2 linked regions of the Callithrix jacchus genome follow. The protein of the gene in region 1 purifies or fractionates together with the protein of each later gene. This does not show direct contact. Links are inferred from orthologs where the notes say so. Each region holds a gene or a part of one and is shown on either strand. Other genes may lie near its edges.

Region 1 (3,812 bases):
AAGAATACATTATATAATACAAATAAACAAAATATGTGTTAACTGATTGTTTATGTTATCAGTAAGGCTTCCAGTCAACAGTAGGCTATTTGTTACATTTTGTGGAAGTCAAAAGTTATACCTTAGTTTTTTGTTTTTTTTTTTGTTTTTTTTTTTTGAGAAGGAGTTTCCCTGTTGTTGCCCAGGCTGGAGTGATCTTGGTTCACTGCAACCTCCCAGGTTCAAGCAATTCTCCCGCCTCAGCCTGCTGAGTAGCTGGGATTACAGGTACCCCCCACCACGCCCAGCTAAATTTTGTAGTTTTAGTAGAGACGGGGGTTTCACCATGTTGGCCAGGCTGGTCTTGAACTCTTGACCCCAGGTGATCCACCCACCTCAGCCTCCCAAAATGCTGAGATTACAGGCGTCAGCCACTGTACCCAGCCTATACATGGATTTTTGACTGCAGAAGAGGGTCAGTTTCCCAACCCCTGAGTTATTCACAGGTCAGCTGTATGTTGCCAAATGTTTCCCCAGTCTGCAAAGCTCATGCTTATTTAAGTAGGCCTCTCAGCCTTGCAATAAAGTGAAAATTTTAAAACTACCTTACCTAATACTAATTATAGTAACCTAATAGCAGCAACAATTATAGCAAGTAATATGAAGTGAGCACTTAATATACACCAGCACGTCTCATCTTCAAAGTTGAGGTTTGAACCCAAGTTCCTGACGACAAAGCTACGCTCTTGACGTCCAGATCATGTGGCCTCCCTAACAAGAAGAACTCAAAAGTATCTTCCAAATGAACAAAATAGGAATCACTAAGTGACCTACATTTATTTAAATTATCTCACTTGTCAAGGCACAGAATAATTTCCAAGGAGACCATAGCTTACCATGGACTCTGACAAATGTGCTGTTCTTCTTGGTCATCAGCCCACTGGATGCTGCACAGGTGTACAATCCTTGGTCACTCCGGGTTACACCATCTATAATTAAGGTGCTCAAAAATTTCTTCATCTCACTCCCAGACTGGGTTTTTAGGTCTCGGTTTACAAGTTTCTTATGTTGATGCTGAAAAAAGAGTTGAATGAACAACCAAAGCATGGCATAACATTAACCAATAGCTTCTAGTTACCCACAGAATTTAATATTAGCCTTTGGTAAACATTATTTAATGCTAATAATAGGGACACTGGAACTTTCAACCTCATGTAGACAACAAATATATTTGATTTCAGCAGAAATAAATGGAACAAATTGAATTAGGATTTTTAAAACCTCACATGGTGAAAATGAGATGGATATACACTGCAGAAACATCAGCAAATGTGATCAATGTTTAAAGCGCAGGTATATCTCATGCCACTTCTTAAAGAGAAATTCCCTTAAAGGGAATGTAAATCAAAAACTTTGGAGAACAGAGAAATGATATAATGTGGAAGGATGTAATCACCTAGAGAAAACTGATATTCATAGCCTGACAAAATTCCTGGTATTTCACCTTTTTTGTGGGTGCTATCTCTTCTGCAATTCTCTTAAAATATGTGTGTGTGTATATGTGTGTGTGTGTGTCTGTGTGTGTGTGTTTGTGTGTGTTTTAAGGCTCTTATATTTTATCTAGCCAAAGAGGCCCCTATCTCTCAAGCAAACTTCATTGGGGCTTATTATCTAAGTGTTTGGAGGTCTGGCTTTGATCACTAGTGTTACCTTCAAGGAAGGGTATTCCCAGTTGAAGTCAATCCCCACGTTTAGTTCAGTTCTTGCTGTACAATTTAAGACAAGCTTTTCTCCAACAGACAGCTCAATTCCATGAGATGGACTCAGAACCACATCATAAATCCTGTATCCTAGAGCAAGGAAATTGAAAAAAACAGAAGATGAGAGAGAAAATAAGCCTATAACTTTGCACAAGGTTATTTTTTAAAGGAATGCAACTTTAAAATGTGAGACATTGTTTTTCCCTGCAGGCCTCACCAATACTTGGTAGCTCCCAGCAAAAAGGCCAGCAGAGCTTTACAAAGTACTATCTTCAGAGACCACAAAGATATTGTAAGCCAGTGGATAGAAAAGTAGTAAACTTTCAGTGGTCAGTAGCCCTAGGTCAGTAGGGCTAGCTTTAGCAAACTGCTGAACGTTCCATAAAATAGGCACAATTAAGATCATTGATAGTAAGCAATGTTCTGAACATTGAAATTTTCATAAAATGTGCTTCAATAATAGCATTCATTTTCATCCTTTTTTAAAAAAAATTTCCTTTTCATCCTTGATCTTGGCAAGAAAAGAGACAACCTCAATTGCACCTGGGTTTATTTGGCAGAGAAGGGCAGATGAACTGCCCAGCACCATATCCTGAGTTCTTATACTTTTCAATATCCTTTTTCATTGTACATCTTAATCTCCAAGATCTTAATACAGGGAGTTACTCTTTACTGTCTGTTATTAATGATATGGAAAGGAACTGTCCTCTTACCTACAACCACAACTATGTACATAATAGACTGGTAACTTTCATCATTAATTTTTGCTTCACAGAAGACCATGCCAGCATAGCTGATCATGTAGCTGGGAATAGTAAAGCCCTTCTTGCTGTCCCAGAAAATTCTGTTGCCATCAGGAACAAACCTCTTTTCTGGATACCTCTGGGTAATAAAAAGAAATATCAAATATTTAATCCAGTACCAAAAATGAGAGCCATGTATGACTGAAGAATTCGTCTTATTTTTAAGAATACCAATTCATTGTATTCATTGTATTTGACCCTTCCTAAAGGAACTTTAAAACTCATTGTAAATATTATAAACAGACTTCCCATCTTAATATTAGCTTAAAATTATAAAAACTTAAGAGACAATTGAAGGAGATGCAACTTACTGCACAAAGTGACACGTTGAGATTTGAAATGGACCCAAGACATGGAATCACCACAGTTTTGTTTTTGTTCTCAGTAATGTACACGACTCCATGTTGGTCACTAACAGAAGCAATAAATGGAGATCTGTAATCTAGAAGAAAATTTAGTTCCTTTAGTGAGTTAACAATATTTACTAGAAAAGTTGGTCATTTTTCAGGTTCCTAAACTCTAACCAGACAAGTGAATGACTGAAAGTAACGCCTCACACAAGCAAAGTCATCCACAGATTGTTCTGTTGATAGACACCTGGCTACAAGTATGTGCTACAGGAGGGTGTGTGTGTGTGTGTGTGTGTGTGTGCACATGCATATGTATATATTTGTGTATATAAAAATTTTGAAATAACTCCCAATTGAGATTGACTCCTTTCACAAGGTTTATTGACAAGTAGAATATATTTTTATGAATTTCACATTTTAAAAGATTAATCATTATACTTTTTTCAAAATGAAGAATAATATTTACTTTAAAATTTAAAGTTAAATCTGTACACTTTACTGACAAGTTTTACTGATGTTCAAAAAACTAATACGCTCTCTCTTTAGGTAAATAATGTAGATGCCATGAAAACAAATGAATGGATCCTAAAGGATCTTTAGATTAACAGGAAACAACTAACAATTTTGAATTCAGTGATTCGAGATAATCTTTTACATTAGCATTTTAAGATTCTGGACACCAGGGATATGATTCTTTCTAAAAATCATGTTTAATAGTGATTGCATTTCGTTTAACATTTAGGAGTCATTGATATCTTCAATGACAAACATCTGAAAAGCTACCATTCCAAAGACTGAGAAGAAAACTGAAGAGATTCTGGCCAGGTGCAGGGGCTCACACCTGTAATCCCAACACTTTGGGAGGCTGAAGGGGGCAGATCACTTGAGGTCAGGTGTTTGAGACGAGCCTGGTCAACATG
Region 2 (4,380 bases), on another chromosome or scaffold:
CTGCACCTGCCTGTTTGAACCTGCCCAGTTGCTCAGGAGCTGTGTGACCTTGAGCTCATCCCCTGTTTGCTGAGCCTCAGCTTCCTCATCTGTAATGAAGGCAACAATGGCTGCCTCCCTGGGCAGAAGGATTAAATGAGATCATGGGTACAAAGCTTGGCACACAGTAGGTGCTCAGTAAGTGTGTGGGTATCTTGACTCCTATCTACCCACTCCCTCCAGCCTGGGGGGTGTGGCCTCGACTGGCTGACTTACACTTTACCTCATTTCCTGGCGCTACTCTAGGCCCACCTCGTACTCTTTCTGTTCCTCTGCAGAAGGAAATCTCATTCACCACCCGCCTGGCTGGCCCTTGGGTCCCACTTCCTTCTCCTTCCAGTATCCGGACCTGCCAGGACCTGACTGTTTTGCTGTGGTTTAAGGCAGACAACCTGGACGTCCCTGAATGAGTTTAGGGACCACCCCCTACCCTGGAGAGATGGGAAGATTGAGGCCTAGGTTGCAGAGAGGCTGCCTGAGGCCTCCTGGCCTCTGATTCCCACTCTTCCTTCAGCAAGCCCTCTGTGATTTACCCACCTAACCCCAGCTGGAACCTGGGTCAGGACAGACTTTTTAGTATCTCCTCAGCCAGAAGTGAAGCTCCTGAGGGCAGGACCTGCCTTCTAGAACTTTCCTCCCCCTGGGATGACGGGCTCCTGGCTTGTCCTTGTGCCTACCTCTGTGGCCTGCACTGCCCCGCTTTTCCCCTCTGAGCTTCACTGTGGAATGTGGGTCAGAAGGGACTGCACTCACACCCTTCTTCTACCTCGTGCTGGTTGTGTAAACTTGGACTGGTCTCACAGCCTCCCTCAACCTTGATGGTCCCATCTGTCAAATGGGAATTCTTGTAGTCACTTCAGCGTGACTGAAGGGGTGCAGAGAGAATATGCAGGGACCAGGCATGGGTCCAGGTGAGCCAAAGGGCTGAAGATTCTTCCTGGGACGGTGTCTACTGTGTCCCCTGCGTGTCCCTGAGTCAACAGCGAATCATCCAGCTTCTCAGAAGATGTGTGGCCCTATCTGGCTTCCTGCCCTCATGTCCGGCTCTTGTTTAGCAACACAATAGCTCAGGCTGGGGCTGCCAGGCGGGCAGCTTAACCCCTTCCAGGCACCTCCCCTACCCCTCACCACAGTAAGCTGAAATTGGCAGGGCTGCCCGGGGCCTAAGCAGCTCTTGGGCTCCTCAGAGAGTACCTGCTGCCCTCCAGGGCAGGCAGAGGAGAATTCCAGGCTCCCACCACCTGAGGACGGACCAGGGCTCATGGCCCTGGCTCCAGTGGCCTGTGGCAAAGGAGCCCTCCAGGTACACCCTCGGTTCCTCAGAGCTGCCTTCCTGGGAAGGCCCTTCCTCTGTGGTCAGAATCCTATCTGCCCATCACACAGGAGAAACGTCCATGCCAGGGAGGGAGGCTGGTGTGGAGCAGGTGCTCAGAGGTGCTAGCAATGCCCTCTTACTTGCACCCCCTTTCTCGTACCTGCTGGGCACCTGAGGACCCCTCACTGATGGGGCTTGACTGTACCTCGAGGTCAAAACTTATGACATTCACAGCCAGGATGGGCTCTGGGCTAGCTGGTACACCCAGCCACTGTTCCTTCAAGCCCTAGTGCCATTCCCAGCACCAGAGATGTAGATCACCTCACTTGATTGACCGAGGAAACATTGTTTCCCCATTTCACAGACAGGACACTTGAGACCTGGGGAAAGAGCTGGGGCTTTGGGGTATGAGGTCCTGGTTCAAATCCCCACACCGGCTCATATTTTTCTAAAGCTCAGTTGCCTTCACTGAGATACAAAGAAAGAATAGGTCTACTCTGTGGCGTTGTTAATGGTAGAATAATGAGCCCACGTCATCTCTTATTCCCCACTGCGGTTTCGAAACTCTAGGTAGCTTTCCCAAGGTCACCCCAGAGCAAATGGGAGAGCTGGGATCTGTACCCCAGGCGGCTGTCTCCAGGCCAGGCTCTTGGCCCAGACCTCCTGACCTCCTGACCTCCTGCTTCTGGGGGACTTCCTGGGCTGTGAGGGCCTTGGGGCTCTGGCACCCTAGCCTTTCAAAGGGTGCTGAGAGGAGAAAGGGGGGGTGGCACTGTCCCGACTATGGCTCCCTCCAACACACAGCAGCCCCTATGGTTTTGGGGTAGGGAAAGGAGGGGATTTCACGGGCAGGGCCTCAAGTGCCCAGAGCCAAGCCTCAGTTTGCCTATTCTGAAATGTTGGCACTGGCAGATAGAGAGAGGCCGAGGCTCAGAGCTCCCCTTTTTGGGCCCCTCCCCAGATCCCAGCATAGAGTTTCGGTGGCGCATGGGAATGGGGCTGAGGAGGGGGTGTCAGGCCTTGGTAAATCCTCTCCAGTAAGGTTAAAGGCACAGAGGGGAGGCCAAAGCCTGGGTGCCAGTCCTCTGCCCTGGCATGATGGGTGACTGGGGCAGAATCCTGCCCTCTCTGAGCCTGGCACCGATGAAGGCCAGTGGGCCCTTTTGAGTTGGAGAGTCCACTTGTGGGAGAGCCGAGCCCTTGCCCTGCGAGATGCCCATTTGTGCCCTTGACACCACCTCTGGGTGCACCTTACCCGACCCTGCTCTGAGCCACAAGGAGGCCCAGCATGCCCTTCAGGAGCTGCTCTGTCCTGGGAGCACTAGGACACCTATTCTACAGACCCTCCCGCTTTGGGCGCAGGGTGGTGGATCTGCGGTGGAGGGGAATGTGGGAGCCCCACTCACCGTGCCTGCGGGCTGAGGGACGTCTCTATTCCGTCGGGCTCTCTGTCCGTCCAGGGCTGAGTGTGAGTGGAGCTTTGTGGAGCCCGCTGGCCGACTGTCTCTGGAGGGGAGCCACACCCCACCGGCGAGGGAGGCCTGGCTGCCTCCCCTTCAGGTTTTCCAGCTGGCCATGGCCCACTTCCCCCCGGGATGGTTTCCTGTTATTGTTCCTTTGTGAGGGCTGGGCTGACTGCAGATAGGCAGGCCCCTCGGTGGGTGGCTGCCTTGGCCCCAGATAGCTGTTTCCACAGAGGCCTGGCCCTGGACCCCACCTGGGACACCCCACTTGAACCCCAACTCCTGACCTCAGCTCTGGGACCCTGAGCCTAGCACCTGCCAAGGTCCTGGCTGTGGGGACCCTTAGCTGCAACAGCACATTTAACCCTCCTTGGAATGCTGCAGGCAGGTGTCATCACCCCTTTTTTTTGAGACAGAGTCTTGCTCTGTCACCCAGGCTGGAGTGCGGTGGTGTGACCTCAGCTCACTGCAACTTCTGCCTCTTAGGTTTAAGCATTTCTCTGCCTCAGCCTCCCGAGCAGCTGGGACTACAGGCATGCACCACCATGCCCAGCTATTTATTGTATTTTTAGTAGAGATGGGGTTTCACCATGTTGGCCAGGCTGGTCTTGAACTCCTGACCTCATGATCCACCTGCCTTGGCCTCCCAAAGTGCTGGGATTACAGGCTTGAGCCACCGTGCCCGGTCTTATTGCCCCCATTTTATAGCCTGGGAAGCTGAGGCTCAGTGGGTTTAAGGTGCTTGGCCACGCAGCTGGGATATAACAGAGCCAAAAATTGCGCTGGGGTCAGCCTAGCCCCAGAGCTTGATTTTCCTGGTGACCCCATGATGTCTTTGTGGGGATGGACTTTAAAGGTGATGGGGAGGCTTCAGGAGATGGGAAAGAGACAGCAGTTCTTGGCTCTGCAGGGCCAGGTTGGCTTCTCCTGGTTGGGGTGGGCATGGATGCCAGCCTTGGTCTGTAGGAACCATTTGCCTTTAGGAATTGGGTGGAGTCAAGTGACCGAGCTCTGCTTCTGATGTGATCTTGGGCCAGTCATGTCACCCTGGAGCTGCAGTTTTCTCATCCATAAAATGGGGATAATCACAGCCTCAGCATCACAGAGCTCTTGAGATAAATGAGAATCAAAGAGGGATGTGAAAGACAGTGACACTGAGGCTGGACCAGAGCCCAGCAGATCCAGGAGGCTGGGGAAAGGGAGCGGCCAAGATTCTGCTAACCAGGAGAGACACTGGAGGAGCTTCTAACAACTACAGAGGCCTGGGCTCGCCCCAGATCAAATGATTTGGAATCTCTGAGGGCAGACCCTGGGAATCTGTCCTTTGAAGAGTTGCTTCTGTTTTTCCAGGGCGATTGGTTGGGAAGTCCCAAACTTGTTTTATTATACAGCTGGGCAAGCAGAGACCCTGAGAAAGAGAGGGCCCAGGGGTGCTTAGCAAATCAGAGCACAAGATGGGGAGTGAGATGGAAGGATATTTTTGGAGGAGGAGTAGATAGGAATTTCTCTGTCTCAGGCAGGTTGAGTTTGAGATGTTTGTTAGATACCCAGGTGGAGATGTCA

What was found.
Region 2: the proteins of KDR (region 1) and CDH5 purify together in Homo sapiens (affinity purification with western blotting; 3 studies listed by BioGRID and IntAct, with this or other methods). This does not show direct contact. The link is inferred for Callithrix jacchus from reciprocal best matches to the Homo sapiens genes KDR and CDH5.

What each region holds. Positions count from the first base shown.
Region 1 is NC_133504.1:141,638,481-141,642,292, reverse strand, and holds part of KDR (vascular endothelial growth factor receptor 2), read right to left. Parts: intron 2,985-3,812; coding exon 2,854-2,984; intron 2,622-2,853; coding exon 2,453-2,621; intron 1,830-2,452; coding exon 1,690-1,829; intron 1,054-1,689; coding exon 876-1,053; intron 1-875. UniProt on the Homo sapiens protein: Tyrosine-protein kinase that acts as a cell-surface receptor for VEGFA, VEGFC and VEGFD. Plays an essential role in the regulation of angiogenesis, vascular development, vascular permeability, and embryonic hematopoiesis.
Region 2 is NC_133521.1:23,890,048-23,894,427, reverse strand, and holds the start of CDH5 (cadherin-5), read right to left. Parts: upstream 2,825-4,380; 5' UTR 2,761-2,824; intron 1-2,760. UniProt on the Homo sapiens protein: Cadherins are calcium-dependent cell adhesion proteins. They preferentially interact with themselves in a homophilic manner in connecting cells; cadherins may thus contribute to the sorting of heterogeneous cell types.